Linked DNA regions of Arabidopsis thaliana. The protein of the gene in region 1 purifies or fractionates together with the protein of each later gene. This does not show direct contact. Each region holds a gene or a part of one and is shown on either strand. Other genes may lie near its edges.

What was found.
Region 2: the proteins of SDH8 (region 1) and MOD1 purify together in Arabidopsis thaliana (affinity purification with mass spectrometry, with the first as the bait; one large-scale study listed by BioGRID). This does not show direct contact.

The regions. Positions count from the first base shown.
Region 1 is NC_003071.7:19,041,645-19,044,938, reverse strand, and holds SDH8 (succinate dehydrogenase subunit), read left to right. Parts: upstream 1-1,704; 5' UTR 1,705-1,920; coding exon 1,921-2,016; intron 2,017-2,428; coding exon 2,429-2,473; 3' UTR 2,474-2,638; downstream 2,639-3,294. Other genes in the region: WRKY46 (WRKY DNA-binding protein 46), read left to right, coding at 185-423, 521-652, 747-1,263; AT2G46380 (extra-large G-like protein, putative (DUF3133)), read right to left, coding at 2,768-2,822, 2,917-3,140, 3,239-3,294.
Region 2 is NC_003071.7:2,320,250-2,325,855, forward strand, and holds MOD1 (NAD(P)-binding Rossmann-fold superfamily protein), read left to right. Parts: upstream 1-1,965; 5' UTR 1,966-2,133; intron 2,134-2,597; 5' UTR 2,598-2,626; coding exon 2,627-2,906; intron 2,907-2,981; coding exon 2,982-3,091; intron 3,092-3,170; coding exon 3,171-3,226; intron 3,227-3,299; coding exon 3,300-3,432; intron 3,433-3,509; coding exon 3,510-3,584; intron 3,585-3,672; coding exon 3,673-3,784; intron 3,785-3,859; coding exon 3,860-3,911; intron 3,912-4,011; coding exon 4,012-4,063; intron 4,064-4,143; coding exon 4,144-4,201; intron 4,202-4,293; coding exon 4,294-4,392; intron 4,393-4,472; coding exon 4,473-4,618; 3' UTR 4,619-4,948; downstream 4,949-5,606. UniProt on the Arabidopsis thaliana protein: Catalyzes the NAD-dependent reduction of a carbon-carbon double bond in an enoyl moiety that is covalently linked to an acyl carrier protein (ACP). Catalyzes the last reduction step in the de novo synthesis cycle of fatty acids.

The DNA.
Region 1 (3,294 bases):
TAAATACAAAAATAAAAATTAATACTTATTGTCTAAGCACAAGGACGAGTACCATCATAGAATCTCCATCATTCATGTCTATAAATACATCTAGATACTCACAGACGAAACTCACATCTCCCACCAATCTCACTCAAAAGAAAATCTAAGAAAAGATTCTTAATTTTCTGAAGTGAATGCAAAGATGATGATGGAAGAGAAACTTGTGATCAACGAATTGGAACTAGGGAAAGAGCTTGCTAACCGATTGATGAACAATCTCAAACACACTTCTTCTGTCGATTCCAACAAAACCTTGATCTCTGATATCCTCCGTATTTACCAGAATGCCATTTTCATGTTGAGCTTCAACCAAGACAAGAACATCCTTAAGCGAAGCCTTGAGATCGATGGAAAAGATTCTAAAAACGTCTTCAAAAAGAGGTAAATTGAGCTAAAAGATTGGTTTTTTGTCTCTCTTTCAGTTCCAAACTGTGCTCATGTGTCTGATTCCTCTGTTTTTTTTTTTGGTGATTTTCAGGAAAGTATCGGAGAAGAACACAGAGAAAGTTAAGGTTTTTGTTGCAACAGAACAAGAAAATGGCTCTATTGATGATGGTCACTGCTGGAGAAAATATGGGCAAAAAGAGATTCATGGATCCAAAAATCCTAGGTGATTATCATTCATTCATCATCTGGGAATTTCAAAGTTTTAATTTTTCTTTTGCTATATTTGCTAAATCCTATGTCTCTGTTTTTGTTTACAGAGCATATTACAGATGCACGCATCGATTCACACAAGACTGTTTAGCAGTGAAGCAAGTTCAGAAATCAGACACAGATCCTTCCCTTTTCGAAGTGAAGTATCTCGGAAACCACACTTGTAACAACATCACATCCCCGAAGACGACGACGAACTTCTCTGTTTCATTGACGAACACGAACATCTTTGAAGGAAACAGAGTACATGTTACAGAGCAATCGGAAGACATGAAACCGACCAAGTCCGAAGAAGTGATGATAAGCCTTGAAGATCTGGAGAACAAGAAGAACATTTTCAGAACGTTTTCTTTCTCTAACCATGAGATTGAGAACGGTGTGTGGAAAAGTAACCTTTTCTTGGGAAATTTCGTGGAAGATCTTTCTCCTGCAACATCAGGGTCTGCAATTACCAGCGAGGTTTTATCTGCACCTGCTGCTGTTGAGAATTCCGAAACTGCAGATTCGTATTTCTCGTCTTTGGACAATATTATCGATTTCGGACAGGATTGGTTGTGGTCGTAGCTTTGAATAATTGATTTGGTGAATGTAATGTCTCTCTCTTAATGGCAGTAATTATAGATGGTCAGTTTAATTTAAGGGTTATTAGTTATTACTTATTAGTATAGTAAAAATTATTTTTGCCGATGGATAAAAATTGGCTTATAGGACTAAAGTTACATGATTTTGGCCTTTTTCATTGTTTTTCAGCAGGGTTTATGAATTATGATTTCCCTATGAAGTTGGATTGTACTTTATGACAATTAATAAAGAAAGGATTTTATATAAGGTTTATTTGTGAGTTAAAGTTGTTAATTCTTATGATTAAATTGATAGAAAGACATTTCAAATGTCACATTAGTATGATTGACTTATGAAAACGCTTTGTAAAAGTGATGCAATTATTAGGATGAACAGATTAAAAAGTGGAAAACTCTTCCATCTTTCAAATTTTCAAGCAGTGTAAAAATTAATTCCAGTCAAAAGAATATAATTTTTTCATTTACAACTTTTTGTCTAAGAAAAGAACATATCGTCATTATGGGCCATGAGCCCAGATAAAAACTATCAAGCCCAGCTTCGAGAAGAGACTCTGTCGATTTCATCATCATAAGAATCTTTCAGATAGTCGGAGAAGACGAAAACGAAAGTTCCGAAGAAGAAGAAGAAGAAGGAGAAAAGATGATTTACCGAAAGTGGAGTTTGCTGTCCGGCCCACCGGTTATCCTCGGCGGAGCGGTAATTGCTGCCGTCGCCGTCGGATTCGTCTTGCAAAACGTATTCTCCTTCTCTTTCTCTTGTTTGGTCGTTAGATCTATATCTTCATTGGCTGCTTTTTCTCTCCTTCTTCACAATTTTTCATGTGTTGCGCTCCTCCTTTGATCTTATTCGGATCACAAATACTCTTGATGAGTTAGTAATTTGGCCTTTTGAAACATTGAGGCACGAAAGGAACAACCTTTAATTGAAAATTTGTGTTCTTTCATAGTCTTCGTTGATGGATCAGGATTGCCTTTATTTGTGTGTTGATAAAGGTTATGAATTTGATCCGTATCAGGCGACTAAGCTTCTTTCTCGATCTTCTGGAGATTATATGTTTGAATACATAAACCAATTTCATCTTTTTTTGTTGGTAACTTTGATCCAAAGATTTAGATTTGGAGTCTGACTTTTGGTGTCTGATGATCAGGTAACGAAAGGGGAGCAGAAGAAGAATGTCTCAACAAACAAGTGAGAAGACAAATGGAGAGATGCTACAAAATGTGGTGATCATGTGATTTGATACAATTTAGTTCTTGCAGTGTATAAGCTCAATAATGCTTTTGTAAGCTTTTGAATACACAGATCTTTGTGGTGTTTTTAGATTCTTGTTACTAATAATGATATTTCATTTTCCACTTTCTCATTCTTTACATTGATCATAAGGCTCTGTAAAGTTAGAAAAAAGTTTAGCCTAGTAATGTTAGGATAATCTAACACGGATGTTCAGAGAATACAACAACACAATGGAGAGGCTCTTTATATTTCTTCATGTAGCTCTCCTCGGAACTCTCATCCCAAACCCACGCTTTAGCTTATCGACCCTAACCATGTAGCATCACAGACCAAACTCAGATACATGAGAACTTGAAAGGTAAGGCGAAAAAGAGAGGTGTTATAGGCTATGTGAAAGCTTACGTTGGGGCGAGTTTACCAAGACTATCTAGCTCTTCACCGGTATCTTCGTCTATGACTCTACCTGAGATGTAAACAGTGTAGGATCGATCTCTATCCCGTGGAAGACCTCTGGCAGTGAGCAAGCGCAGGTCTTTCTGGTGAAGCTCTCTTCCGTTCACAAAGACTCTTGTGGTTCCGCCAGCGCAATTCTCTGGCATTGGGTAATTGAGCTCTTCAATGAAAGGCTGTAAGAAAGGAAGGAGTCACCTTTCGCCAGTTTTAGTACACATACTGAAAAAAACGAAAAGAGATTGACAAATATGATTTGTTAGCTGATGTTTACCGGTAATATTCCAAGGCAGTGACTTCCCAGTACTCCCCAGAATCCAGCTCTGTAGT
Region 2 (5,606 bases), about 17 Mb from region 1:
ATTAGCATAAACGTATTTGTTAGCAATATTTTAAAACAAAGTTTTTTGTTTAAATAAATATTATTCTTACTAAACGTTTTTTTGTCTAAATAAATAAACCCTGTATTTGAACTTATTTACAATGTCATGCTATTGGCATTAATTATTTAGAAATTAAAATATTTAATTAACGATTTAAATCTTCTAAATCTTTGCTTTTAGAGTTATTATGTCATTACCTAAAAGGCAAAAAATATATATATTTTTAAATATTATTATTTATATATTTAAACTTTATAAAACATTATTAATATTTAAACAAAAAGTTTAATATATCAAAAAATTTAACATCATTATATAATATATAGTTTAAAAAATCTCAAAAAAAAATCCGTCATATTTTGTGATTCAAAATTTTAAAAATGAACATATATTAACCAATTAGCGAAAAATGTGTGGGTTCAACATCCCGCATCGACTAAAATATTTAGACAATGATTCATAAATAAGATCAACATTAATAAAATAAATGTTTTTTTTGCAGGATGGGTTTTGCGGGACGGGTTTGGCAGGACGTTACTTAATAACAGTTGTAAACTATAAAATAAAAATATTTTATAGATAGATACAATTTACAAATTTTTATATATATACTATCTTTAAAAAATAAATTGTCCCCGCGGTGTACCGCGGGTTAAAATCTAGTTTAAACTCTATAAATGGAGGCTTGGTTCAATTTATTTGGACACATAAAAAAATGTCATTTCTACCATAATTTTCTTATTCTTCTGCCATAAATTCTATATATTATTCTACCATAATGTCATTTTTAATTAATTTAATTTAGTTTTAATAGATATTTTAACTTAATTTGTTTAACAACTATTATTATGCATCACGAAATATAAGATATAAGAAAATAAGAATAAAAGAAATAGTGGGGTTGGGTGTTGAATTTTATTAATAAAAAACATTGGAGTGATAAAAAATTAAAGTAAGGAAGAAAGAGGAAATGATGTGAAATGTTCAAAATTGAGGTGGAGGTGCTGAATATGTTTTTGCATTGTACATAGTTTTAAGCATTTAACTATTGAATTAATATTTTCAATAAGTCATTGTAGATAGTCATAGAGAAAACAATTAATCAATACTATTTTTGAATGCCCACCAGCACTCTAAACTTGCACATTATCACAAATACCAACGGTCCCAGGAATTTTCCAATCTTCATCGGTCTATGTAAACATAGATCATTTATTTTGGAGAACACATTTATATTATTTTATTTTTAGCTTTTCTTGGATTATGTGATACATATGGAAAGCACAAAATGAAAAACTTCACGAAAATATGGATCGAGATCCAAGGGATATTCTCAAACTAGCGAAAAACAAAGACAATGCTTGGACGTTAGCCTGATTGGAGGTTGCAAATGAAATTCAAGCCTCAGTGGCAGTTAAGTCGGTTAATATAAATCTTTCAGGATATCATTGTTTCATTGATGACTCTTGGAAAGATAGTGACAAGTTTTTGGGCATGGGATGGTTCTGTATTTTACCAAATGAAGGACATCCAACCATGTGTGCTGGAAGCACTCGTCTGGGCAATGAAATGTATGATTGGCCAAGAAAAGCGAAAAGTAACGCTTTTTATAAACTGTAGATCTGATGAAGATGATGTATTTTCCAACAAAATGGCCAACATTCGCTACATACTTAAAGACGATTCAGGAAGATAGTGATGAGTTTGATTTTTTTGATTTATCTCTAATGCTTCGAAATGTAAATGTTAAAACAGACCACTAGATACGGAATGTTCGGATATAACCACATATGATTATCTTTGTAAACAATACTTTTTAGCATTGATTTATTATTTGAGTTAATCTAATAAAGTTGTCGGAAAAAACGGAAAAGTGAGAAGAGAAAAAGTCGAAAATTCAGAAACGGTTTAAAGTTAACCAGGATTCCGGTTTTTATAACAGAACCGATCGGTTTTGTAATTGAGACGAAAACTTCTGATATCACTTAAAAACTTCACAGAAACAACACCTCGATCTCATCGAAGCTCCTCTCTCTTACATATCATCACTTCACATCAACCAAACCTACTTCTGTCTCTCTCTCTCGCTCTCTATCTCTCACGCTCTCACAGGTTTTTTTCTCTCTCTGTCTCTCTCTTGTTCTCCATTTGCGTCTCTGTTTGTTTGATGAGTTTCTGAATGTTAAATGCAGATGTGTTTTGGTTTTCTGTGGAAGTTTTTATATCTCTGTTGATTGAGTTTTTCTCTGATGTTGTTGGGCTCCAAAAAATTCGAAACTTGTATTATCTCTCGTTTAGGTTTCGTGTTCTCTGCATTGATCTGCTTCTTTAATTTGTTAACTATACTCACGTATGTGAAAAATCTGAACTTTGTTTGTTAACTCTAATCCAAATCATTAGAAAAATGCAGATTGAGATTTCTCTAATGCAGTGCTTGAAATTTTGGAAACTAGGGTTCTTGTTATAATGTTTCAAGTAGTGAACTTATGTCAACTTGTGCTTTAGGTTTGATCTGATTCTTAAATTTTGTTTCATATGTGGTCTTTCTTACAATGTTTCTGGATTTGTTGTTTTAGTAGAAGAAAAAATTAGAAAGGTTGTGAGAATGGCGGCTACAGCAGCTTCAAGCTTACAAATTGCTACACGAAGGCCGAGCATGTCTTCGCCTAGCAAAATTCTTAAAGCAGGAACCTACATTGTTGGTGCCAATCCTGGAAACGCTTCATGGGATAAACTTTCATGCACTCGCCAATTATCAAACCTTGGATGTTTGAGAAACCACAGTGCTGTTCCAACTTGTAAGAGACCCTTTTCTTTTTCCACAAGGGCAATGTCTGAATCCAGTGAAAACAAGGCTCCTTCAGGGCTTCCAATTGATTTGAGAGGTTGGTTGGCATATCTTTCTTTGAATTCAGAGAAGACTTGGTGCTATCTGAACTAAGCAAGTGTAAATGGTACAGGGAAAAGAGCTTTCATTGCTGGTATAGCTGATGATAATGGCTATGGTTGGGCCATAGCAAAATCTCTTGCTGCTGCTGGAGCTGAAATATTGGTTGGGACTTGGGTTCCTGTAAGTCATTTTTGGTTCAGCTGCTTTTAGTTTCCTTCATTGCTAAATTATACTAACCTATGAATGGATGGTCTACTAGGCACTTAATATATTTGAGACAAGCTTGAGACGTGGAAAATTCGACCAGTCACGAGTGTAAGGACTTACAACATGATCTTGTCTGGTTTTATGTAATGGGACATTAATTTTTCCATCCATGTATATTCAGGTTGCCTGACGGGTCATTGATGGAGATTAAGAAGGTTTATGCTTTGGATGCTGTGTTTGACAATCCTGAAGATGTGCCTGAAGATGTGAAAACGAATAAGCGATATGCAGGATCGTCAAACTGGACCGTACAGGTATAGATTAGAGATACACAAACACGCCTGCAAGTTAACATGTGTTACTCCTTAATGCTTTTTGTTGCTTAAATCAGGAAGCTGCTGAATGTGTGAAAAAAGATTTTGGAAGCATTGACATTCTTGTCCATTCCCTTGCAAATGGCCCAGAGGTAGAGAACTCGTATCGATTATTGGTTACAGTAAGTGCATTGTGTTGTATACAAACTATTTCCTAATGGTGTTCACATGTGGGTTTAGGTTAGCAAACCTCTTCTGGAGACATCAAGGAAAGGCTATCTCGCTGCTATCTCTGCTTCGAGTTACTCCTTTGTTTCCTTGCTGAGGCATTTTCTGCCAATTATGAACCCAGGCATGTAACAAATTTCGTATGTCTCTTTATTCCTTGTAAATATGTTTTCTTATTTGGTTCTCTATGATGATTTAGGAGGTGCTTCAATATCTCTTACTTACATTGCCTCTGAAAGAATCATTCCTGGGTAAGGATGGCTTCTTCACAAGTTATTCAAAGGAACAAACTAATGCACACACATAACGATGTCAACACATTCTCACAAGTATCTCTTTCATTCTGTGCAGGTATGGTGGAGGTATGAGTTCTGCCAAAGCTGCACTAGAGAGTGACACACGGGTGAGTTTACAATTCTGTTTCGTAAACTCAAAGATGTATCGGTTAGAAGTCTCTTAGTCCAAACTGTGTTTTCAACATAGGTGCTTGCATATGAAGCTGGAAGGAAATCAAACATTAGGGTCAACACCATCTCTGCGGGTAATCCATCTTTCCCTCTTACACGCCTCGTGGTACAAATAACACGCCTCGTCTTTTGAAATTATAAAAGAGTACTACTGTTTGGGTTTCAGGTCCTTTGGGAAGCCGAGCAGCAAAAGCCATTGGGTTCATAGACACCATGATTGAGTATTCCTACAATAATGGGCCTATTCAGAAAACACTGACCGCAGGTTCATTTCCTTCAAACCATCACCTCTCTTGTGCTTGTTTTTTCTTGGAATCTTACGCTTTATAAATGGCGATGATGTAGATGAAGTTGGGAATGCAGCAGCCTTCTTGGCATCTCCATTGGCCTCTGCCATAACCGGTGCAACCATATATGTGGACAATGGTTTGAATGCAATGGGCGTTGCACTGGACAGCCCGGTGTTCAAAGACCTTAACAGCAAGAATTAGAGTCTTGATCGACGACTGGACTCGAGAAATTCCGTGTTTTCGTGAGCTTGCTTGTTTCTTTATGAGTTAGTATGTACGGCATATGTTCCCCATCGGCTGTCTTTTTTTTTCTTTCTTTAAGAGAATAAATTATGGTTCTAGGTTGGGTCATTTAGCAACTATATATGTAGTGATGGATTATTATTCCTCTTATGATTGAAAATTTGCAAGTGAGAAAAACTATCATGTTTCTTGTAAGTTGTCTCCTCCAGTCTCAAATCTCAAACCAATTTACAAGACTAATGAAACCTAACAGCCTCTATTTGCTAACTTTTGAAAGTTGTACATAAACCTCACAAACAATAGCAGTTAATTCTGCACATATCATCTAAATTTGGCTTTAGTAATTGAAACTGGCATAAACTTAGAAGCTCAATATGCTAAATTTGGGAGGAAAACGTTAGCTATCATCTTGAGTTTTTTACATATGTAATCTCAAATATTACTAATAAGTTTAGAGCTCTGTATGGTTGATAATTTACTAATTAGAACCATGACATCAACAATGAAGAATACAAAACATGATGAATCAACGAGAAATAAGAAGCTCTTGAATTCCAGAAAGGAGATAAAAATGACTATTATATTACTTCCCCTCTGGTCACCAGTATCATAGTATTATACATAAAAAAAAAAAAAAATAGCATGTATCTATATTTCATCTTAAAAGCAAAAATTCAATTTTTTATTTAATAAAAATATAGGCGTATGATCTATCTCTTAAATATATTATTTATATAAATAATATTAATTAAAATAAAAAATTTCTAACTTTCTAACAAAAATATCAACGCGGTACACCGCGGGTCAATCTATAAATAATACAAGTTTTAAATCTTTATTAACTCTTAAAAAAATCCAAACCACAAACAAAATAATATTAATTTTCTCGGCGAGGCTTGCAGCGTGGTCGGCAGTCAGCTTCTCCAATGAGAGTTGTTTGCTTGGG